Drosophila melanogaster: one gene and its partners. The protein of the gene in region 2 purifies or fractionates together with the protein of the main gene of each other region. This does not show direct contact. Each region holds a gene or a part of one and is shown on either strand. Other genes may lie near its edges.

Region 1 (8,014 bases), on a different chromosome or scaffold from region 2:
TATTGTAGTTACTACACAAAATTTGTCAAAGCAAAGAAAAACAAAACAAAATCCACAAAAGGAAAGAATCCAACATACAATTTAAGTTACCATACAATTTTTGTGATAAAACTAACAAATAAAATACAATTTATAAAACGCAAACTGTTTTTTAAGTGTTTTCTAAAAAGGAGTCCATTGTTGTATCCCCACCAGTAAGAATGCATTTCAAGTAGTTTTCGTTTAAGCCTAAACTTTATTTTACACTTATTTACTACAAAATATATGTATTCATAGAGCCGCTTATTATGCGTATTAAAAGCCATGTCAAGTTATGAATAACTTTTTCGCAGCATTAAAGCAGACTATGTTTTCCTACGCTTGTAATTTAAAAAGATCAACAACAAAAGAGGTTAACCCAAATCGCAAAGCGTAAATGCCAGTCGTAACAATCGCAGTGTTAATTTAAATTCACAAAGAATAAGATCCAAGCTGGAGCCAGCCATGCACTTACTGATAAACAACCACTGTGCGTGCACGCAATAAATATTTCATAATATTCAAACAATGGCTCCAACATGTGGTTAATAAACTAGAGAAATTTTGTAGATTACACTGAATTATCCTAAATTTAGACTTAGTTCTTCAGCTTTGGCGACGCTTTGCCTGGTTCAAGCTAAAATTAGAAACAATTCAACTAGTAAGTCCAGAGTTGGCTAACGGGGTTTGAGATGGTTGGTTTGGGTGTCTGTGGATGGGAACGGTTGGTGGGTGAAGCACAGGTTTAAGTGACGACGGCCGATCGCTTGTCACGATTCTTTCCACGTGTTATGGAGCGTGCCTTGAATGCAGCAGCATTCACAAGGTGCTGCAAAAGCAACAAATATAAATATATTAAAATTTGAAGCGAATGTTAACACATTTCAATCAACTTACCCGCTCCAGCTTGGTCGGCTTGACCTTGGCGTTTCCATTGATGCCTGTGTTCGTGGGTCGTGGTCCCAGCTGGAAGATGTCACGGATGAACTCGTTCTCCTGCAGCTGCGAGGTCATCCCGGGACCCATGACAGTGCACATGGCCGAATACTGATGATGGATGGACCAGGAATCTAGTGTCAGCGACTCGGTACCGAAACGAATGCTAATCTCTGGGGAAATGTCCTCCTGCAACGAGATAAAAAAAACTTTAAAATCAGGCTAGGCTACGAGCAAATATTCTAATCTCATTTCGTACGATTTTGAAATGTATCACTATTAGTTTCTCTATCAGATCAAACAGACCAAATTTCTCGTTAAAAAAAAAAAAACTACTAAAAAAAATTGTTTTGGCCAATTAGTTTTGTAGATTTCGTTATCAAGATGATGCTATCAACCTATCAGCACGACTATGTCCCGCCCAGTGCCAAACGGTACGAGTTTCTAACGCGGCCCAGGGGCGCCGAGGCTCACAGTGGTCCGCAGGTCAAGGAGTGCGAATGCGTCGACGAGTCCAAGATCATGATGCCGCCGAACGCGTCTAAGGACTGTGGCGGCGTCGAGTGGACGGGCATAGCGCCAATGGGAAAGCTGGTGGATCCGCGTATCATACCCACCCAGCTGACTCAGGACCAGGTGGACAAGATGGCCTTCTCCGCGGAAACAGATTGCTTTAAGCTGCAACCCAACCGCTTTCTCAAGATCTTACGTACAGTCTACCCGGATCTGTATGAACGCCTGAAGGTCATGCCCAAGGAGGAGCTGAGCCGCAGGCTGGAGACCAACCGTATGAACACCACCTATCAGATCGATTACTGTAACATGAACGAGTACCCGGAGGGTATTTATGAGAGCCTAAAGACGGAGGACGAGTCCAAGAACGCCAACAAGCTGATGAGCGAACGTGGACCCTGCAACGAGTTCCGCTCGAACGTGATGAACGAACTGGAGCGGGAGGCGTCCGCTGGCTACGAGATGTCTAGCGACGAGTGCCAAAAGAACTACAAGCCATTCAAGACCAGCTTCTCGGACTCCTCGCAGACCATCGAATCCGGCAGCAGTTCGCACTGGAACTCCGCCCCGACCACATACCGGAAGGTGCCGACCTTCAGCGAGTACATGGACTCGATAAGCCGGAACGGCTGCGTCATCATGCGCAACAAGTTGCACGATCACTCCAAGTGCTTGGCCAAGTACTGCAAGCACGAGCTCAAGTTCACTTGCACTGACATGAAGTAATCGTCCAAAGACTAGTGCATCTCGAGTCAAATAAATAAATGTAATCCCTATTGTTTAAGCGTAGCACTCGTGCAAATCTTCAACTCACCTCCAGGTATCGCAGCACATCACGGAAGGTGGCACGCTGGGCCTTGCGATCGCGCTTGGCGCGGTACTTATGCGAATCCGTGGCCAGCTGCTTGACGGCCTCCGATAACTCAGCGATGTCATCTTCTAGGAAATCCTCTTCGTGAGCACGTCCCGACTCCAGAATTAAAGCAATGGTCTCGCCAGCGGCCATGCGGACGTCCAAATGTGTAGATTGCAAGAGACCCAAGAACTTCTTAATAGATCTGCAAAGTTTAGTTTAAACAATTATAGCAATGGGTTTGAAAGTTAAATGGAACTTGCTCTTCAAACTTACGGAAACATGTTTTGGCCAGTGGTCATCAACGAAACAAAATCCCCCGAAGGTATAAGTGTTAGTAGAAGCCCCCAGGCGTTCAAGGCCTCCGCATGGAAAGTCCCAGCTTCGGCGGTGACGGATACCGGTGTCTTGTCATCGCCACGCAAATAACTGCCTGCGAAGATGGCCTCGAAGCTCTGCATCAGGTGTACCAACTCCCCAACATCCTCGCAGCCCAGGAAGCTCAACAATCCCACAGCTGTGCAGCACTTGGCACGGGCATCGAAGCCCACGGACTTGTCCTGAACGGTGTTCAACAGGAATTGATTCATCGCCTTGGATATGCCTTCATCCCCGCCCATTTGGAGCACCAGCAGGGGCGCGAGTCGTGCGCCCCACACCTGCTCCTGGCCCTTGCCTCGACGGATGCTCTTCTCCACGAAATCCATCAGGGTCATCTTGCGGTCCTCCACGAAGTCCGGCATGTAGCGGTGCATGAGCAGTTCGCAAATCGCTTGCAGAGCCTGCACACGTGTCTGGGCCGACTTCTCGGTGGCCTGTTCCAGGGCCTTCTCGAACTTCTCCTCGAAACGCTCATTGGCCAGCTCGTCGGTGGCCTCCGAGGATGCGACTTCGGACATATGAGAGTAAACGCTCACATTGTCAAAGGACTCGTCCTCAGAATTGGAGTCATTGGTGCGGCCTGAAAAAGAAATCATTTGGGTAATTAATAAGGTTTTTTTTTGAAGTATTTTGCTATACTCAGCGAGTTTTTCAAGCATAATTCATAAATATTTATTATGCTAATGCGACCTGTGAGCCTTTTTCAACAGCTATCGTTTTGAACAATATGCTTAATTGCACATTTTAGGCATTCAACGAACCCATTGGAATGTAAGCTAAGCATTTTGCAAATGGAAACTCAGTGAATACCAATGTAATGATTATTCTATTTTCAGAACCCCATTTGTATTCCTTGTTAAATGGAGTAAAATATTGGGACCACCCTCATGCAAGTGCCCACATTTCCCTTCAGTAACTGTCAAACCAGCTGAAAAGAGGCATCAAGTTTTGCCGTCTTCGAGCAGCTTTTCATTCAATTGCTTGTGTGCTCATTTAGATGGGGAAATGTATATGTACTGAAATTAGAAATTCAATTACACGCTTTGCCACACAGCAATGACCTTCAAGAAAAACAGCTCGGGAGCCGCAAATGTTGTGCAACAAGTTTTCTATCCATCTTTCGATGTTTCACTTTGTTTGCTGGCCAACTGCGTCGAAGAAAACCCGTCGTAGAGCACAACTTTCATTGTGGCGATTTCCCAGTGCCTGTTTTCAGCTTTCTATTTGGGGCAAGGTAGTTTCCGCCTCGTTTTTTGTGTTTTTTTTTTTTTTGTTTTGCCTTTCACAAAAGCTGCGAGCAAACTACAAACACAAAAGCATGCGGTAACTGCGGGCTAGAAAAACGAATCAAAAGCAGTGGAAAACAGCTGGTTTTGCTTGAAAGTTGTTTGGATTAGATTCGGGCGAGTAAACCATCTGTGTTTTGAGAGCGACTAATGCATAACACAAAGTTGCGTAAGTTTTTAGGTCACCCATGAGGTATATACTTAGATGCGAGGAAAGTTCCCCGAAGAGCCACAACTTCCGCTTCTTTATTTTTAAATTTAATATTTGTAAATGATTGTATGATGAGCCTATAAATACCAATTCGGATATTTAACTATATAAATAGGTACAGCTTGAATAATAACTTAGCATAATAGAGCACTTAAATAGAATACATAATTTGATACGCCCTACGAAAACATACCCACTGATACCCTGCACTGAGGTATTCGGTTATAGGCGTGATTCTGATAAGCTGGCATTGAGCGTACACATATACATATACATATGTGTACGTATGTTTTTCCACGAACAAGTATATTTATATTTATATACAGTTGTGCTCAACATAGAAACAACGCAGAAACTTAAAACCTCCTCCTTTGGTGAAATGCAGCTATTTAACTTTATATTACATAATTTGGAATTTTTGTCAAAATTACTATGGTTATATTGTTATTATTGGTGGGCAAAGCTGTATAAATTTACATATGTATACGTATGTATATATATTTTCAGTGAACCGCTGATTACTTGTTGTTGCGCAGCCAGCTGAGCGCGTGAAGCTTTTGGTGCCAGCACAGCAACAAAACGAAAATAATTATTTCATTTCGAGGGTATTGACAAACAGGTTGCAGGCAGCGAAGCTTCCTTCGTTTGGAAGCCAACGAAATACACCAAACAGTGCACGGTACTCATTAGTCAGTGCATGACTAATGCAAAGGTCAAACGAAAAGCAGCTGTGAAAATTCACCTACCCTCGCCGGCTTTTGTGGGGATATACTATTAAGTCTATTGTTCAGATGTGCGATTTAATTCGTTTATTTTGTAAAAAACAAGAAAACCATGAGGTTAAGATGGTAATTAAACCCAAAATGTTGCTACTAAAGGCAAAATAACTAATTTTAAGCCTATAAAGTCAATTGTTTCAGCTGGAAGTTCACACTCGTATCCAATAGATATATTATACGCATTTGGATACGTTCAACCTCGCATTTTTTTTCTGTGCACACCCACACACTCTCTTTTCTTTGTGACTCACCTCTGCCTGCTGCTGATTTCTTGTTGCGTCGCGGCATGTTGCTGTTGTTTTTGCGTCGTTCAGGTATTTTGCTGTTTGAACTCGACGACGACGTTTTGGTTTCTATTGTTTAGCCTACTGTTTCAAACACAAGGTACGAAACACAAAAAAAACAGATGCTTTGTAGCCGAGTGTCCTTTTCCTGTTCTGGGTCCTCAAAAGGTGGAGAACAGGCGTCGAAGTCTACACAACGGCGAAAATGTCTACACTTTCGTTGCTTTGGCGGCAACTACTGAAACGCACGTGTTGGTTCCGATTTATTGATTTTGATGCTCTAGGTTAGGAAATTAAATTGCGTTCTTGAGCCGAGCTGTCAATTTTTTAATCTTTGTCTTTCTAACCCGAAACGTTGCCGATCAGGACGCACCTATGCAAAAACTTTGGTGCTTCCAATTTTTGGCAATTCTACACGACTGTCTTTGCCGTTTGCAATTGTTCAACTCCGATCGCGATTTTTGCGGCCGTATCTTATATATAGTCTGCTGATTCTGATGGCTCTGCTGCTTGGCGTTGATAATACAAAAATGTCGTACTCCCGTCGACGTTGCAGCAAATTTCATGTTTAATTGCAATGCGTTCACTTTTCTCCGCGCTGGCAGACACTCCCACTCCGCCCTCGGTTCGCAGTTATTGTGAAATCGAATCGAATGCGCTGTCTTTCGATCTCTGGTGCTTCGATTTTGCTATTTCCGATTCGGCCAGTGAAGGCGCTTCGCGGACTTTACGTTGGCAGCTTTCGGAAAGCTCTAAAAATAATGCAAATAATTAAGCACTTAATTCGATTGCTGATTTTTACGAAATGAAAAAGTGAGTGACCGTATGCGCGAACGTTGGAAAATACCATGAATAGCGGTATATTCAATGGAAGATGGAAGTCTGCGCTCATGCGATAGTTGACTTTCGATAAAGCCTATACCTATAATTATACTATACCTATACTATACCTATTATACCCTACTATACCTATATTTACCTATAATTAAATGTGGCTGGAAATAAATAAAACTAAATAATCTTACTTTATAAATTCATTGATTGGTCCTATGCTTTTCCGCAAAATACTAATTTATAATTTTATTTATGGACAATAAAAACTTCTTATTTTTGTTTAAATCGCGATATTCGCGCTCACAAAAATATCATCTCCACTCTGCACCTGTATCGATACTTTCGTTGCAGCCCTGCGCCACCCGCACACATGCACACCTACACACTCACACGTACGCGCTCAGCGATTTGCAGAGAGAGTTTTCGGGTTTTTGTTTAGTTTTATTTGATTGCAACTCGATTGGAACGACAGCGGTTGGCGCAGCACACAACAATTCCTCAGCGAGGTCGATAAGAACGGGGGCCAAACTAAGAAAAAGCTCCAGCCGACTCGATTCGATTCGAAGCTCAGAAGATTGGACTTCAGAACTCGAACTTTGGCACCACAGCAGCGCATCCACGAACGTCGCACCCAAAAATTCATGAATGCCCAGCAGCGGATTTGGACTCGGATTCGGAATCGGAATCAATAGCGAACGACAACAACAAAAGGGGGAGCCGAAAGTGGGGTTTGCAACACCGCGGATTGCACACAATAATTAGGTAATTTGTAAGCGACGTTCACCTGGACAAGGTGAACTTGGCACCGCCTCTATATGGCAGCCTTCGTACCTGTGTATCTTATCGATCGAGTGCCCTGGCTAATCGCGGGATAATCTTGCAGGTATGGCGGCGATTGAGGAGCGTTTCCAGGCGGCAGTCAATGTGATAAAGGGTCTGCCCAAAAATGGCCCCTACCAGCCCAGCACCAGCATGATGCTCAAGTTCTACGGGCTGTTCAAACAGGCCACCGAGGGTAGACCAGATGTGGACAAGAAGCCCGGCTTTTGGGACATCGTAGGCAAGGCCAAGTGGCAGGCATGGAACGATAACCGTCACTTGACCAAGGAGGAGGCGATGCAGCGCTATGTGGAGAGCCTGCAGGAGATCATTGAGACCATGTCGTTCACGGAGAATGTGCAGAACTTTGTGGGCAGCCTCGATAGTCTGGGAAACATCAGCCTGGACGAACTGGAGCTGGTCTCGCCCGGCATGAAGGAGCTGGCCGAGTCGCATCCCAACTCGCCGTTCCACTCGCGCACCAACAGTCCCCAGCACGGCTCCAGTTGTAATGGCGAACCGGAGCCGGAACCTCAGGCGACTAGCACCGCACCGCTGGCCACATCCGAAACGATTAAGGAGAATGGCCATAGTTCGCCGCCACTGACCAATGGCTATGGACCTAAGCCAACAGCAAGCTACACACAACATGACACGCACAACTTTACGAGCAACAGCAGCGTGGCCATCGTGGATCCCTCGGACGATGAGTACGACGATCCCTACGATCTCAGCCACGAGCTGACCCAGGCGATTGGCCAGAACACGGACCTGCTGCGTCAAATCCAGGCTGCTATCACACGGATGAACAGCGATGTGGGCGCAGTGCAGCAGCGCGTTCGCAGCCTGGAGCAGTCGCTCAACGAACTTCGCAGCGGCCAAAAGGCAGCGAAAGGAACGGTGGCGCAGCCACGATCACTGCCCGCCTGGTGGCCCTTCAGGAACATCTCCCCGCTCTGGTTTGCCGTCCTCATCCTGTGGCCTTTCCTGGTGAGGCGGTTCGCGCGGATGCTTCAGTCCAATCCGCAGCGCAGGCACTGACGCAGGAAAGCTATACTTGCGGAGGGCGGAACATGTGGTAGTTAAATTGTAAGTACAAC
Region 2 (5,049 bases):
GTAAACAGCATCTCATTTATAAAATTATTTATATGGAAATGAAATAATATTTAACAGACCGGTATGCATTTATTTATTATTATTATTACAAATTAAAAATAACCTATAATACACTAGCTTACACGGATTACTCCGTATAGCCGCAAACTCAGATATTCAAAATGGTTTTGCTTTCGATATTGTTTAAAATTTATTAGTGCATTACCAACGTCAAATGGCAGTTGGCGTCCAAATGCACGGCATTTATCCAAAAGTCAATACATTTTTTTTTGAAATAACGCATAAAATCGAAATAAATTAAAGAATTCAAAAAGAGTGCAAAAGACTTCCTCTGAAAACATACACTGTGTTTTTGAATGGCTCCCTTTCGGTTTCTTGCAGCTGAAAAATGTTTTTTTTTCGAATTTCTTCGCACTTAAAGGCGTTGCAATGGGCATGGAAAAGTCAATAGTCAGCTGAATTTAATATAAATACATATATTCTTCAAAGGAAACAACAGTTTTGCGTTTATATTTGCAGTTTCGCATCTGATTTCTTATTTTAAGTGTATAAAATCATATTCAAAGAAAAAAAAAACTACCTGATTCGTTTTATATATATATTTAGTATCTATAAAATATTACATATTTATTTTTTAGATTTACATTTATTTACGCCCCTTCCCCTTGCGACCCTTCGAACCCTTTTCGCGCCTCTTCTTTGCATCCATTGACCGCTTGTCCTTCTTCTCGCGCGGATCGACGACCTTATAGCGACCCTTGACGCCAGCTGGACGACGTGCGCGTCGAGCTGCTGTCTGCTTCTTGGCCACCACATATGTGACCTCCTTCTTCTTCTCCTGAGCCTTCTTGTACACCTTCTTCAGTTGCTTGGACTTCTCGTGGTTGGTGGCATCGCTGTTCTCCATAATCTTTTCGGCCATCTTCTTAGCCTTGGCCAAGCGTTTCGTGGCACGACGATGCTTGCGCGCCTTGGCCTCCATGACCTTCTTGATCGGACGCACGTTCACCTCCTGCAACTTGCGCTGGTACTCGGCGGTCAGCTCCTTCGGCACCGGTGTTGGCTTGGTCATATGCTCGTCCTCATCGAGCTTGAACCAAACGGGAACGTTCTCATCGTTGAAAGCGTAGCGATTCCAGGCTGCGTCGATCAAGTCACGGCGTGTCTTCTTGCTGCGTGTCAGCAGTGCGCCCAAAGCCATTTCGTTTTCGGACAGGCGAACCTTCTTGGCATTTGTACCTGATAAAAAGCAAACGAGAATATTAGGTTTAGGAATATTAAATGCTTATTTTGAACTCACCTGCAGCTGGCTGTTCGCCGTCGCTATCCTCGTTAGCGTCATCCTCGGATTCGGATGACTCTGAGCTGCTGTCTTTAGTTGCGGTCTCATGGCGTGCACGACGTTTGGCCTTCTTACCCTGGACAACCTCCTCGTTGGCGTCCGGCGTTAGGGTGCTCTCACCCAGAACGGCGACACCCTTGGCCTTGAATTCCTTGGCCAGATTGTTCAGATCGTAGGTTTCCTCGTCGTCATCCGACTGGATATTCTGTAGTACATCCTTCTCGTACCACAGCTGTACGCGTTGCTCTCGCTTGGTGTTTTTGTCACGGAAATCATTGGATTTAATCAGCGGATTCTCGGAGCGTTTCTTTCTCTTGTTTTTGCCCTTTGCATTGCCCTCATCATTGTCGTCGTCACTGAGGCCCAGGCCCTGCTTATCATTGATTTGATCCTCGTCGTCGGAGGCCTCGCTTTGCTCCTCATCATTGTCATCGTCATAGTTTAGATCATCGTTGATGTTGCCCTCATCCTTGTCGAAATACTTGTATTTTGGCAGCTTTGTTTCCTCGGGCTGCGATTCATCGACAGCAAAATCGGGTTGCACGTCTAGCAGCTCGTCAAGCTCGGCAGAGGTGCGAATATTCTTGAGGTCAAAGATTTCGTGCTCCATTTCCTCGACCGGACCATCGTCTCCCTTGATCACCATATTAAGGTTCATCTTCTCGTGCAATTTCGCCTTGGTCTTGAGCGTCTTCTTACGCTTACGCTTCAAGTCCTTCTTCTCCTCTTCGACAATTGTCTCAATTTGCGTTTGCAGCTCGGCATCTTCCATGTCCTCGATTTCCGCTTGCGTCAATGGCTTGGGCTTCTCATCTGCGGCATTGCCGACGACCAGTGGGGTTTCCTTTTCAACGAACAACTCCCTAACATCCTTCCACCATTGCACGAGACCCTTGATATCCTTGCGGCCCAATACCTTCAGATCCTTGCAGCACTCGAGAATCTCTGGCGTGGTCTTCTTGTGATTGGCAATGCGCTGATCATCGATGCGAATCGAACCGATGCCCTGCAGCGCAGCCAGTGCATTTTCAGCCTTCAGGAACTCTGTGGCAGCCAGATCGTTGCGCAGCGCAATATCCTGGGCCGTATAGCCCTCGGCCTTGATGCGCTTTTGCTTTTCGGGATGCAGCAGGCTGCTCTTCTTTTTGGCATCGAGATCCAGCTCCTCGAACACATACTTCGAGTCCAGGAGACGGGGATCAATGTGATCGGGCGCCAGGTAGCCCTGACAGACGACGAATATCTCGGCGGATTCCTTACGCGACGCACTCGGCTTGGTGGCGTGCACCTTCTTGAACAGCTGCTTGAGCACCCAGAGCAGGGCATTGTAATCCTTGGAGCGGAAAACCTTCGTCACAAACCAGCCGCCGTTGCGCAGAAACTGTGTGCTCAACTTGAGCGCGTTGAGGGTGAGACAGATCTGCTGATAGGCATCGTACAGCCAGTTCCTACCCACATTGGGAGCACCGTCGTGGAGCACAACATCGGCCTTCCACGATTGCAGCTCCTTGGTCAGCGATTGGCGGCACTTCTCGGTGGTGATGTCCTCGACGAGACCAATGCAGCCGGCAATGGGACGGATGGGAAAGAGATCCACGCCGATCACAATGCTGGACACCGGCATATTCTGCTTGGCCACCTGCATCCAGCCACCGGGAGCTGCGCACAAATCCAAACATACTTGCGATTGTTGGAGGAAACCGAATTTGCGATTCAGCTGGATCAATTTGAAGGCGGCACGCGATCGCAGGCCCGTCTCCTTGGCCAACTGGTAGAACTTATCCTTGCGCGTCTTTCCAACTTTCGTCTTCTTGCCCATTGCTGCTGGCTTTTCGTACAATTACGATAAAAATCAAAACGAATTCAAATCAAATGTCGAATTCGTGCACGTGTTGCCAACAGTGTGGCCGTATTGACAATTCAAAGTATTCCGGGCAGTGCCAGCATGCGCGTCAAGGTAGCGGCGATTGAGTGCTAGATAAGTGGAACGTGTTCTTAAATTGTGGAATGCATTGGGGCAGCGGGTGAATTTTTTTAAAATTTCTACTTTATTATTTATAAATTTAAAATTGGTCGATCAAAGTGATTTATATAAATTACTACACACTTTTGGGAATAACTGTAAGATGTGGGGTGAAGTACATTAAGCCGTAATGAACCATAATAAAAATAAAATACGCCTAAAATTAAAATTTTTTGTCTGTTTTACAGCTGCCAAAAATCTAAAAAATTAAAATTCTTCTGTTTTTATTGACCAACCCCACATAAAAGAATGATTTCTATCTGTGAGCCAGATAGTTTTAATTAAAGAAGAGCAAGTGTATCTACAGATGCTCCATCTCTTTCTATTACGTGTATAGATTATCTGCAAAGGATAACGCCCTTTTCTTTAATACTCCCAAAAAACCATTAATTAATACTTCGTTTTGATTTATTAAGTTATTTGTGTAAAGTTGTGTATTTATATATTTTTCTATTGTTATCCAAAATGTTTAATGCAGTACCTTACTTACTGAAATACATTGAATGGTTTCATTTGACCGTAATGTGAGCGAAAGTCTGTCAAAGACATATGTTATTTATCATTTAAAATTATAATCGTTTTGTATACTTTCAAATAATCTGTTTTCATATCCGTTTTAATTGGGGGCAAAGAGTAGTGTACACTTCTTACTAAGCGAAAGACGAATTTGTTCTTGATTTTATAATGCAATTAAGTTGGGAAGTTCGTTTTTATAGCAAGAAATCCATTAAGATTTAATGTTTAATACTTTTTAGGATGTAAGAAACAAACAATTGTTTTGAGACTTTTAAAATACACGTTAATAAATCTATTAAATGTTATAAGCTGTTAAATAATACAATTCGTCCTTCGATAGAAATGTGACATTTTGTTTATCCAAGACTTTTCTTTTCCGTTTTTACATTCAAAATATTTTTGTAATTAGTTGACGTGTGTGCGGATAACAACAACATGTATTATTTATTTATTTGATATACATCGTATACATGGTTTAGTTTCGTATTTTCGTATTGTTCAAGTTTTTAAAAATTTCGTACAGTTTTAAATTCAGTAAACACTATTTTGCTGTCGTATACGTACTGTAGCCAAAAAAGAATCGTCATAGTATGATTTACATGCAATATTTGTATATACCCGCAAATGTAGGTAAATGTATTAAAATATATTTATACACAGCTGCGGTCAAAATAATAGCTCTGAAACTTGTGCCTCCTCCACTCGTTGTGAAAATATTCGTATACTACCAGTTTAATCGAGTTTCTTTGCATATGTTTTCGATGGTTAATATATAAGCTAAATGGGGCTATGCAGAAAAAGTCACTGCATTGGTTATTAACCCTTTTTAAAGAACGTTGATCAAATTATAATCGCTTAAGCGAATTATTACGTATTTATGTATTTTACAGTTGACATGCCACAAACAACATGCTTTCCATTTCAATTGATTGTGAATTAAAAAAAAAAAGCGAGCAAACTTTTCGTTTTATGTTCGGGCAAAAAATATTCTTAATTAGGCCATTATTCAATTGTCGACTTCTTAATACATCCTGCATGCATATATTGTTAAAAAGCAGGAGACTGTGTCAATTAAAAAACCATATCAGCTTATTTACTTTCTTTTTTGATTTAAGCAGGCAAAGTTTTTTCTGCCAACCAAAATGTAGCAAGCACAAACTAACTATTA
Region 3 (5,894 bases), on a different chromosome or scaffold from region 2:
GCACTGCAAGACAACTATTTTTGTTACACCCATATGGTTTTGTCTCTGTGGACATCGGATATTTCTATTAATGTACAAATTCTGTGACACTAAACTATGATGATCCGAGAAAACGGCATTCGTCGAATCCTTTCCGGGGTTTCCATGCGGATTTTAGAGAAACATATTCCATAAGCACCTCTTGGAAATGACCCTTTACAAGTACTGAGAAAAATCTGGAGACACATGTTCGGAAATAAAATTTGGGCCTATTCTGAGCACCCCTCAACTGCAGAATTAGTGAGCAGAAGTTGTTAAGCGTATGGGTGATCCTGCCCCATGCTCATGTGGCATCTGGCATGTGGCTTCTACCACTGGGTTAATCGACAGCGACTAAGAGAGTGCGAACTGGTCCAGGGGGAATCGAAATAAAACCATATGCGCCCTGAAAGTATTTTTGGAACACACGAACCCAACGAAATGGGAGGATTCGTTGGTTCGGTTGATTTCATGTCATTCCTGCTGCATTTTTGGTGGCTGTCGCCACACCCAAGTCTAAAAAGTGTAGTTCATCGTTTATTGTGTATTATTTTAAAAACACTCTACATCCAGTAAACAAATATGGGGAGTGTTTCATTGGAGGAAGGCGATTTGTCAGAACATTACCCATGCGCTGAACGTCGGTCCCAATGCTTCTGTGGATTGATAAAAAAAAAAAATGATACAATCAGTCGCGGCAATACTGTCCTACGCAATTTCGATTATGTTCATTTATTTATATTAAAAGTAGCAAGGAACCAGTCAATTACGTGACTATCTGCGGGAAGCGGCAGCAGTGCGATATTGTAATTGATGCAGGCACGGAGCTGTTGAAAGCAGATCTATAAACACAGAACGAGATGAATAAGTGGTGGCAGCTGTTTCTTTTTTCTGTTCGTGGGCGCAGGCAAGAAGGCACACAGGATGTGCGTGTCATCAGACAGGCGCGCCCGAATCCGAACCGGAGCCTACCCTCACTTGACCTGCGCAGGGTAAACACACCCTGTGGCACATCTCTCGGCACGCACATACTTCGCCGTGTTCTATTTGGGTCACGTGTGAAAGGAGGACTTAGTTCCGAAATCAAGGGCGCAAAACTAAAAAGCATGTCTCACTTTTGACTTTACAATTGAATGGTGTGCTACTAGAACATTGTCCGTTTTGGTAGGGAGGAGTTAAATGAAAGATATGGTGTAACTGTACTAACCTGCGTAAAAACTCCTACTTCCTTCTTTTCGAGCCCCCAGTTGATTGAGCTTTGGGGCGCTGCGTTTTCCGCATGCTGCGCTTGCGGTTTTCGCTTTTCCTCTCTGCGTTCTCTTCGTTGCGCTTTTTAATGAACTCCAGTCGCATGCGAGACTTGACAATTTGCTCGGGGCGGCGCATCTCCTTGTCGTTTCCGGTCAGTCGCTTCTTAAGTTCTAGCTTTAAGTTGTGCCGCGCATGACGACTGACTGGGTAGCGCTGGGCATGGCTCAACGGCTTGGCGTTTTCGTCATCACTACCTGCATTTTCGCGCTGCAGCTGGTCCTCGATCTTAGACTTCTCCTTCCACTCAGCATAACGACCTGTTTTAAAGGAGGCAGGAATCCACGCACCGGACTCGGTCCGAATTTTGTTGGCTCGCGGATCTTGTACAGAGACCATTTTTTTCTTAATTCGGTCCCACTTCTTAAGGCCGGGCTTGTGCTTCACTTCCTGGGATAAGTCGCGGTCCGACACCGAAAACTCGGCGTTCTGCGCCTGCCGCTCAAAGTTGTTAATGGCCAGACCATCCTCTGTGTGCTTGTCTGCCGACTGGTACGGCACATAGTGATCCTCGTCCTTGCTGTTTATCTTCCGCTTTTTCTTCTTTGGCTTGTCCTTGTAAAGGGCGTCCATGTTCTGGAGCCTCTTGGGCGCAACGACTTTATTGAAAGTACTACTAATAGCTTCCTCGTCGGCGGTGGGCATTCTGCCTGAGCTTGGGTTGAGCGCCTCGATCGTTTTCTTTTCCTCGTCTATGTCCTCTTCTGCGCGCTGCTGCCTAAACTTGTTGATTACTTCCGCATGCTGCATTCGTTTTTCCTTCATAACGATAAACTGCGTGGACTTTTGAGTGGTGTTGAGTTCAAAAACGGTCTGAAAAGGGCACAATTACTAATACGTGAGCGAGCATTTATCGTAAAACTGTTGAGAAACTCACACCACCAGGACGGAAACTACGCATCTTCACCAGTATATCGTGCTTTTCCTCCTGCAACTTGCGCTCTGCGGCGCTCACCTTTGCCTGCGACTCTGTTGATTGTCCACTAGCTTCAGCCGCCTGGGCGAGCACAGGGGCAGCTGTGAAGAAATCCTCCAATGGCTTGAGAGCAAAGAATTTAATTTTCTTTACACGCGCGTTGGCATCCGTGGAGGCTACTGGTCGGGAACTCAAGTATTTTTTGTAGGCGTTTTCGCTGGTGCGCAATACTCCGGCCTGCAGAAATACATGTACAATTACGTATCATTAGAAACCATAAAATGCAGTACACTCCATTTGAAACTTACAATATGGTGACTTTTCTTTATATCGGTCACTGTGAGGTGCTCTTCCTCGAGCAAATCTTGCGGAATGGTTCCCAATGCCGAGCTGTCGTGTATATTAAAGGGTCTGTTCAAGAACAAGTGCAGATCCAGTAGATGTGCTGTGTCGTCTGTGGATACAATAGAGTATGCGGTTCCTGTGCGACCAGCGCGAGCGCAACGACCTACCCGGTGGACAAACAGTTTCGGTTTACCCGGGAAGTGCAGGTTCACCACAAAGTCTAGACTGGGAATGTCAATACCACGCGCGGCCACGTCCGTGACTATTAGCACGGACACCTTTTTGTTCACAAATTTGGCGGTGTTTATTTTGCGTGCAGCTGGATCCAGGCTGGAGTAGACTGAGGCGTTGGAGATTCCAGCCTCAGTAAGTATGTACGAAATGAGTTCGACATGGTGCTGAGTACCGGCGAACACCACGGTTTGCGACTGCACCGGAATAACGTACTTAAGAAGAACCACAAGTGCTGTGTAGCGGTCGTCTGGTCGACAGTACAGAAACTTTAGAGCCAGCGCATCCGGGAGCTTGGATTCGACGTCTAAACGAATGAGCACTGGGTCGTTCAGTCCGGCACGGGCGAACTCTACTAGCAGTTTTGGCAGCGTGGCTGAAAACATGACCGTCTGCCGGGACGATGGCAATCTGTGCAACGTTTCGTTCAGTTGCTCGCCGAAGCCCATCTCGAAGAGTCGATCGGCTTCATCAAACACCACGTACTCTAGAGAGCAAATAAATTAATTCCTGCTTTTATGGTCCGCAACTATCAACTCACCTATGGAATTTAGCTTCAAGTCCATTTCTACGCACAAATGAAGAAAACGACCTGGCGTTGCAACAATTACGTCCGGACAGGTATGTATGGCCGAGAACTGTGAGTCCATGGAGTCGCCACCTAGCACCAGAATGCTCTTCAGTTCCATAAAGCGGCCCAGCTCCTTTATGAACTTATACGTCTGCACAGCCAGTTCGCGCGTCGGAGACAGGATCAGGGCACGGGCCCCCTTTGTGGGCTCGCGCCTCTGTAGCTTTTCAAAGAGCGGAATCAGAAAGCAGGCCGTCTTGCCAGAGCCCGTCTTGGCCATTGCCACCACATCGCGTCCCTCCAGGATCAGCGGAATCGTTTTCCGCTGTATGGGGGTGGGAACCTTGTAACCCCGCTTGGTGATGCCCTTTATCAGCTCGAAGCCCAGGCCCATCGACTGGAATCCACCACTCTTGTTCTTCTTGGACTTGGACTTGAGAATGTCGGCGCCCCGGTCGCTGGTGCCGGCATCGTTGTCCAGTGATGGAAAGCCTGGTATTTCATCCGCCTGCTTCTTACGCTGCCAATGCAAAGTATGTATTGAAAGCTAAGCAACAAGAGACAATCCTCTTACCATATTTTTTTTGTTTTGAATAAAAACAACACGTGCAAAATCGATGACTATTCCACACTATCGATAACTCCATAAATTATCCAACACTGATTTCTTAAAAATTGACTAACGCTACAATATACCGCATTGTAATTGGCGCTTAGATTTTCATTTGATTAACTCGCGTTTTATTATTTTAATATTTACTATTTTGAGTAGACCATCTTTTAAATCGACCATATATACACTGCCGATTAAAATTAGAGGATAGCTTACATATGCCCAAAGGGAAAAAACCTCATAAGACCTCGACCAAACGGGAAAATAACAGATATAAAAGACTGGTGCGATTTAATAGCTATGTAAATGTATTAAATAAATGCTACATCTTGTGCAGATTATGGATTGAAAATGAATTTTTTAAACGATATATTTCTATCGACATCCGAATTGGTTTAAAGCTCTCATAGCATTCAAGTTATTAAGGTTTCGATAAGAAATGGTATGAAATCGTCATTAAACTGGGTGCTTTACAAATGCACTTATCGGCTGAATATCCTAAATATACCTTATCGAACTTACGCTAAACTTATCTTTGCATTAACTAAACGTCCTCTCCAAAATCCAAGTCCGCCTCCGACTCTTGAACCAGCACCATCTGCTCCAGGCGGTCAATGCGCCTCAGCATTTCCTCCTTTTCCCGCTGAAAGGAGTCGGCCCGCCGCCGCAGGTCTTCGTTTTGACGCCGCAACTCGTGAAGCTGGCGACAGATCTCAGAAGAAGTTAGCAGCGGCATCACGTTCGGAGATTTCGGCGACTGCTTCGTCGCATTGACGATTGTCTTGCCAGGTGCCGCCCCGTTGTTTACTGCGCCTTGGCCGGATCCTGCCGAGAGTGAAGGTCGCAGCTGTATCGTCTGGACGGTGCCCACTTGTCCCCTAAGCGAACTGCCCGACGCGGGATGGCCTGAAGGCAGTGGGGATGGGACCGCGGCTTCGTTCTGGCTGTGTGATTCTTCTAGCGCAGTGAGATCCTGCGGCCTTTGCAGGGAGGGGAGCTTTAACTAATTAAGCGGGGTTCAAGTAAAGTAAGGAGGTGAGCTCAGAAACTATTTAATATTCACCTGTCGAGCCTGCAACTGGCGCATGTTGACTAGCTTTGTGCCATCGGGAAGATGCCGCACCATTCCAGAGCTGTCGATAAGGCAAGATCTTATATATATCTCCCAAATATGTGAAATTAACGTACCTTGCCAATGAGGCGGGTATTTTCTGAAGGGACTTTGCCGTGCTGTCCGATCCGTAGAGTTTCTTAAAATCAGTCAACGAGATAATGCGTATATTCTGCCCTCAAATATTAATTATTATACGAATTAGCGAAACAAAACAATGAAATGCATACCTTGTTCTTGGCAACTCCCGCCGGTGACGGAAGATCCTTCTGCTTCAGGACATTCATCCGAATCTTGGGATGAGAATTATTAACATTTGTGCGGAGCGCTGCGACCGAAGGCCGGGCGTTTCCGTTCGTGGATTGCTTGCCGCTGATGCCCGATTTTGTTTCGTGCAGCAGCATGCGTCCTCCTTCAGAGAGGACAAGTTGGCGTCCATTCTGCAACGCAGTGTTCAGCATTTCTTTCGAGTCCTCGTCATCGTTGTCCTGCACCATGTCTGCGATTTCGTGCGTCTTTAGTATGTAAAGCGCAGTGTTCCGCAGGACGTTTGCATCTGGCAGGGAAAATAGGTTTTTCGTTAAATATTCGTTTAATATCTCCGAATCTAGTAACTTACGGCCTCGCATGTTTTCTAGGACATCCATTCGTTCTTCAACCGACATTTCTTTGTCGTCCACGGTTTTAATTACTTCCGGTTCGTCCATTATTGAGCTGACAGCTTCATTGGTTTCCTTCTGCAAATCGATGGGGAATAAATATGATATGATTTTTCTTTCTG
Region 4 (4,367 bases), on a different chromosome or scaffold from region 2:
CCGCCAGATCTTGTGATGCATGTGCCCAGTTCCGCGTAGCACAGAGCTCCGATCGTCGATAAAATGCCGCAAGTCAGCCAAATCAAAAGGGAGCTTCCCACGGATCTGAAATGATTTAAAGTAGTCATCGAATCAATAAACAATTTGAATGAAAATAAACACTCGTAAACAAATATGGTCAGGGAATACATACATATATATATATATAAAGCAATAAAAATTATAAATATAGATCTAATATTAACTCGGTGGCAAATATTTGTAAGCAATAATAGTAAAATGGTATTTAAACAAAACATCTAAAAAAAACAAGTGCTGGGGATTAGCTTTCATTTCGATAAAATACTTTTATGAATTTAACTTCCTGGAATTTTTCGCAGCCGCCTTAAGCTTATGACGCACACCTTTTTTTGTGGCTCTTATCAATAATTTAAATGTTTGGCGCGCCTTATTGACGTTATTCTTGTGACTGGAGACAATTCGCTTAAAAAAAAAAAACACTTTAAAAAGCTGACGCAATATGTGGGCAGAATTTCAAGGTTGAATCTTTGAGGGAAAATCGAGAACTAATAAATGTATCTTAATTGGTGCTAAAGGAATGCCTGCGACAATCTATCCATTAATTAACAGCTAAATTGACCTTTTTTGTGCATAAATTGAATTAAGGAGGATGCTCTGTATCACCACTCACTCGGTGTAAATAAAGACTCCCGTGGGAGCAATGAAGATGCCCGATCCAATGATGGTGCCCACTATGATGGCCACTCCATTGATGAGTGTTAGCTTCCGCTTGAGGACAATCTTCTCCTCGCCATCAGCGGGATTTGGATTACCCGGCGCGGCGCATCCATTTGTGGGCTCGACCAGGCTGGTGGTCACTCCATTGGCATATCGGTCCGTCATGATGTCTGCACTGTGGGATTCTTCTGCTTACCCTCTTCTAATGGCGAATAGCGCACATTGTCACTGGAATGAAGGGTAAAAGTTGAAATGTAGAAAAAAAAGCCTTCATTACTATCAGCAAATGGGGCGCGAGCACGTGTTGCGCAAATTGTAAACAAATGCTATAGTGCTGATTTTAGTTACTAATTGCTAGTGAAGAAGACCCGATTTTTGCCTCGCTGGCAGCTAACTAATCTCCCATTGTCAGGCATAAACTTGAATGTTTCCCCGACGCCACTATCTTCGATACACGAAATTTAGCTTTAAAGTAGGGTGATTTTTGGGGTTGGCATGTTGTGGTGTGTAGCTGCCTAATGGGGAGCTCCACTTTTATGGTGACGCCTTTGCCGCGTGCCAATTTCCACGATTTCGTCATCACCTTACGACGCGTGGCAATGAATTTTGCAGTTGCAGAGTTGCAGTTTTTCTGGCAATTGCTCGATTGCTTTTATTCGCTTCTTTTTTTTTTTGTTGGTTATTCGCAAGGTTTGGAATGCAGTTTGGCTGATTAATTTCGGTTTATCTTGTTCCCAGCGACTTTGCACGTAAAACACGATTTATTTTACCTCGAGAGCGCGGACACAACAAAACGGCTTTGACTGCGAACAGCGACTGTGCGTTGGCATCGAGACCGGCATTTTCATACTAAAATTAACGCAATTTTCACCCTAAAACGCAGTGAGAGAGTGAGAGCAGCAAACGGAGAGAGAAACAGAGAGAGAGAGAGAATGAGTGTAAAGAAAAAAAATGAGAAATGAGTGCTCAAAACCGGAAATTAATGTCAAATGGTTACTTACAAGAAGAAAACATTAAAGCTGTCCTCTTGAATGCTAGCTAATGCTAAATTTATCTTATGGCATAACTATTAAGCATAGTTTTCAGTTGAATAATACAATTTCTTAAATGTTCCCGCCAAAAATTTCAAATTTGTTAGCTATTCACCACGAAACGCGCTCAGCTGTTGCACACATCACTTATCGATAGCAAAGCACTTATCGCTCCGCGCCCACCTCTATCCTTTTTAGTTATTGTTTTGGTGCTTGCACGTGTTTTAATTTACTTCGATTAAAAAGCCAAATACCAGCAATGTCAGACAAGTGAGTGATTGAAAAACTATAAAAATGTGTTGACCCTAAACATTATCTTATACTTTTGATCCCTAGATATGCGGTGCCCAACAAATTGCCCGGCAAAACAGTGTCGGTGCTAAAGCATCGCAAGAGGAGAATTCTGCAGGATGAATCTGTTGTTACGCAGAAAAGAAATGACCGCATCAAAAAGAGAACCGCCACCAAGAATCACCACAAATTCCGCCGTGCCGAATCCTTCGTAATGGGCTACCTGAAAGCAGAGCGCACGTCCAAGCGGATCAAGCAAACCATTCTGCGCACCAATGTCACCGAACAAAGTGCCAAAGCTGCCGACGATTCCAATCCCAAACTGCTCTTCGTGATGCGCCATGCGGGCAAGAAGATCTTCGACAAGACCACCGCGGATATATTCCGAACCCTGCGCATGGGCTCGCGCCACAACGCCGTCTTCATGGAGAACACCAAGGAGAACCAGTTGCTGCTGCGCGTTATCGAACCCTTTGTAGTCTACGGCAATCCCTCGCTGAGCTCCATTCGCGAGCTGGTCTTCAAGAAGGGCTTCGCCCGCATCGACGGCAAGAAGACGGCCATCCAGTCGAACACCATGGTGGAGCAACAGCTGGGCGACAAGGGTGTCATCTGTCTGGAGGATATAATCCACGAAATTTGCACAGTGGGTCCAAACTTCGCCGCTGTAAATGAGTTTCTGTGCGCCTTCACGGTTGGTTAACAACTTCTCTTTTGCAATTCTTAAAACTATACTATTACCGCCATTTGGTTTTTTCCAGTTGTCCAGTCCCAGCAATGGTTGGCAAAAGAAGGTATCCGTCTCGTACAAACGCGGTGGCGAGTACGGCGATCGTGGCACTGCCATCAACGAACTGATTGCCCGCTGCCTGTAGAGACCCTAGCCTAGTAAACCCTTAAGTGATTGTTCAACCTCTATAACCCATTCTGTAGCTAAGCCCAATACACATCTATATACAAACGTATTCTATTTGAGCGTACTTATTTAACGAAGAAAATAGATGGTCAGGTCAGCACTATCGTGAGTTTACTGTATGCCTATAAAAGCAATCCTGCGACTATTAAGGAACCACATGAAACTGTCTCTAACGACATTCCTCATTATTCTACATGTTTATCAACATGATAAACTTCACCCACGAAACAAGTTCTTTGCTTCTTGGCCTTGCGTGTCCCAGCCGAGTTCCCAAATTGAACAAACCAGAGAATCAACTTTCTGCCTCGAATAATAAATAAGTCATAACCGAGGTGGCTCCTCGCAAACGAAAGGTATGCCAAACTGAACTACTTGTTGCCATGAAGGAGGAACTGTTGTTTTTCGATTAGTCGGAGTCAGTGCCACTAACCTAGTGCAACTCGGGTCGTCGTATCTTTTGTTCGGATAAAACTCCAGGGACTACACATTGGAATTCAAAATCCTTAGATTCAATTAATTCTCAATGAATTCAAGTTTCAACAGCGAGCAGTTGGACACCGACCGCGATGGACTGCAAAAAATTCTGGCCCGATCTCTCAAGGAACCCATTCTTGGCAAGCACTTTGCCCTGCCTGGCCGCATAGAGCAGAGTCCACCCATCGAACTGGACACCAGCCAGAGCTACATTGCCGTCTACACTCATCTCAAAGTGCACGCCACCATGATGCCGGAGAGATTGCCCACGCCGGAGGCAATCGGACGAATACAGGCGGAGAACTTGGAGGCAGCGCCCAAGGCACGAAGTTCAAAGACCCGCTTGGATCCCTGCTCAAATATAAATTAAATTACGTTGGGCATCAATAAAGAAAGTATTGTTATTTTATCTTTTGGTATCCCTTAAATTTAGTAAAAGAATATTAAAATTTTTTTTTTTATTTTATTAAATATACATGTTCATAATCCTTGTAGGCATAAGCTTCACATCAAATTCGTGTTGAATACATCCTCCTATCGGTGCAGATCTTAGTATCCTTTTTCTTGAAAGTAATTAATATGATGCTTTTCGTAGGTTGTTTAAATCGCTACTAGGTTGATAAGTATAAGACAATTAATGGGACCGCATGTGGTGCTTTAACAATCAATATTGGGTTCATTCTTGAATCCATAAAAATCATGAGAGAAATGTAAAATAACCAAGTGTTTATGTGTCATCCTCACTCCTAATTCTGCAGGATACGCACGGCGTTGTACATCTGGCCAATGATGGGCAGCTGCTTGGACTCGCGCCGGCAAAGGTATTTGTAGGCATGCGACAACAGCCTGTCCAGGGCAGCCACATCGATCTCGTCGGGCTTGGTGGCCGCGATCTGAATGTTGTTCTCCGTCATCGG

What was found.
Region 1: the proteins of CG8939 (region 2) and Ifrd1 purify together in Drosophila melanogaster (affinity purification with mass spectrometry, with the first as the bait; one large-scale study listed by BioGRID). This does not show direct contact.
Region 3: the proteins of CG8939 (region 2) and CG32344 purify together in Drosophila melanogaster (affinity purification with mass spectrometry, with the first as the bait; one large-scale study listed by BioGRID). This does not show direct contact.
Region 4: the proteins of CG8939 (region 2) and RpL7-like purify together in Drosophila melanogaster (affinity purification with mass spectrometry, with the first as the bait; one large-scale study listed by BioGRID). This does not show direct contact.

Annotation. Positions count from the first base shown.
Region 1 is NT_033779.5:2,868,408-2,876,421, forward strand, and holds Ifrd1 (Interferon-related developmental regulator 1), read right to left. Parts: upstream 6,083-8,014; 5' UTR 5,266-6,082; coding exon 5,229-5,265; intron 3,282-5,228; coding exon 2,597-3,281; intron 2,526-2,596; coding exon 2,282-2,525; intron 2,243-2,281; exon of another isoform or gene 2,194-2,242; coding exon of another isoform or gene 1,339-2,193; exon of another isoform or gene 1,245-1,338; intron 1,144-1,244; coding exon 916-1,143; intron 848-915; coding exon 764-847; 3' UTR 220-763; downstream 1-219. Other genes in the region: CG8813 (uncharacterized protein), read left to right, coding at 1,339-2,193; CG8814 (uncharacterized protein), read left to right, coding at 6,981-7,955.
Region 2 is NC_004354.4:15,995,236-16,000,284, reverse strand, and holds CG8939 (uncharacterized protein), read right to left. Parts: upstream 3,270-5,049; 5' UTR 3,162-3,269; coding exon 1,301-3,161; intron 1,240-1,300; coding exon 647-1,239; 3' UTR 587-646; downstream 1-586.
Region 3 is NT_037436.4:320,690-326,583, forward strand, and holds CG32344 (uncharacterized protein), read right to left. Parts: upstream 4,032-5,894; 5' UTR 3,967-4,031; coding exon 3,964-3,966; intron 3,910-3,963; coding exon 3,360-3,909; intron 3,306-3,359; coding exon 2,551-3,305; intron 2,480-2,550; coding exon 2,204-2,479; intron 2,140-2,203; coding exon 1,240-2,139; 3' UTR 1,226-1,239; intron 675-1,225; 3' UTR 544-674; downstream 1-543. Other genes in the region: Atac3 (Ada2a-containing complex component 3), read right to left, coding at 4,547-5,005, 5,066-5,135, 5,191-5,285, 5,344-5,669, 5,733-5,850.
Region 4 is NT_033779.5:12,054,394-12,058,760, forward strand, and holds RpL7-like (ribosomal protein L7-like), read left to right. Parts: upstream 1-1,954; 5' UTR 1,955-2,028; coding exon 2,029-2,039; intron 2,040-2,105; coding exon 2,106-2,754; intron 2,755-2,821; coding exon 2,822-2,935; 3' UTR 2,936-3,499; coding exon of another isoform or gene 3,500-3,820; 3' UTR 3,821-3,858; downstream 3,859-4,367. Other genes in the region: JhI-21 (juvenile hormone Inducible-21), read right to left, coding at 1-105, 692-903; CG34164 (uncharacterized protein), read left to right, coding at 3,500-3,820; Rab3-GAP (Rab3 GTPase activating protein), read right to left, coding at 4,197-4,367.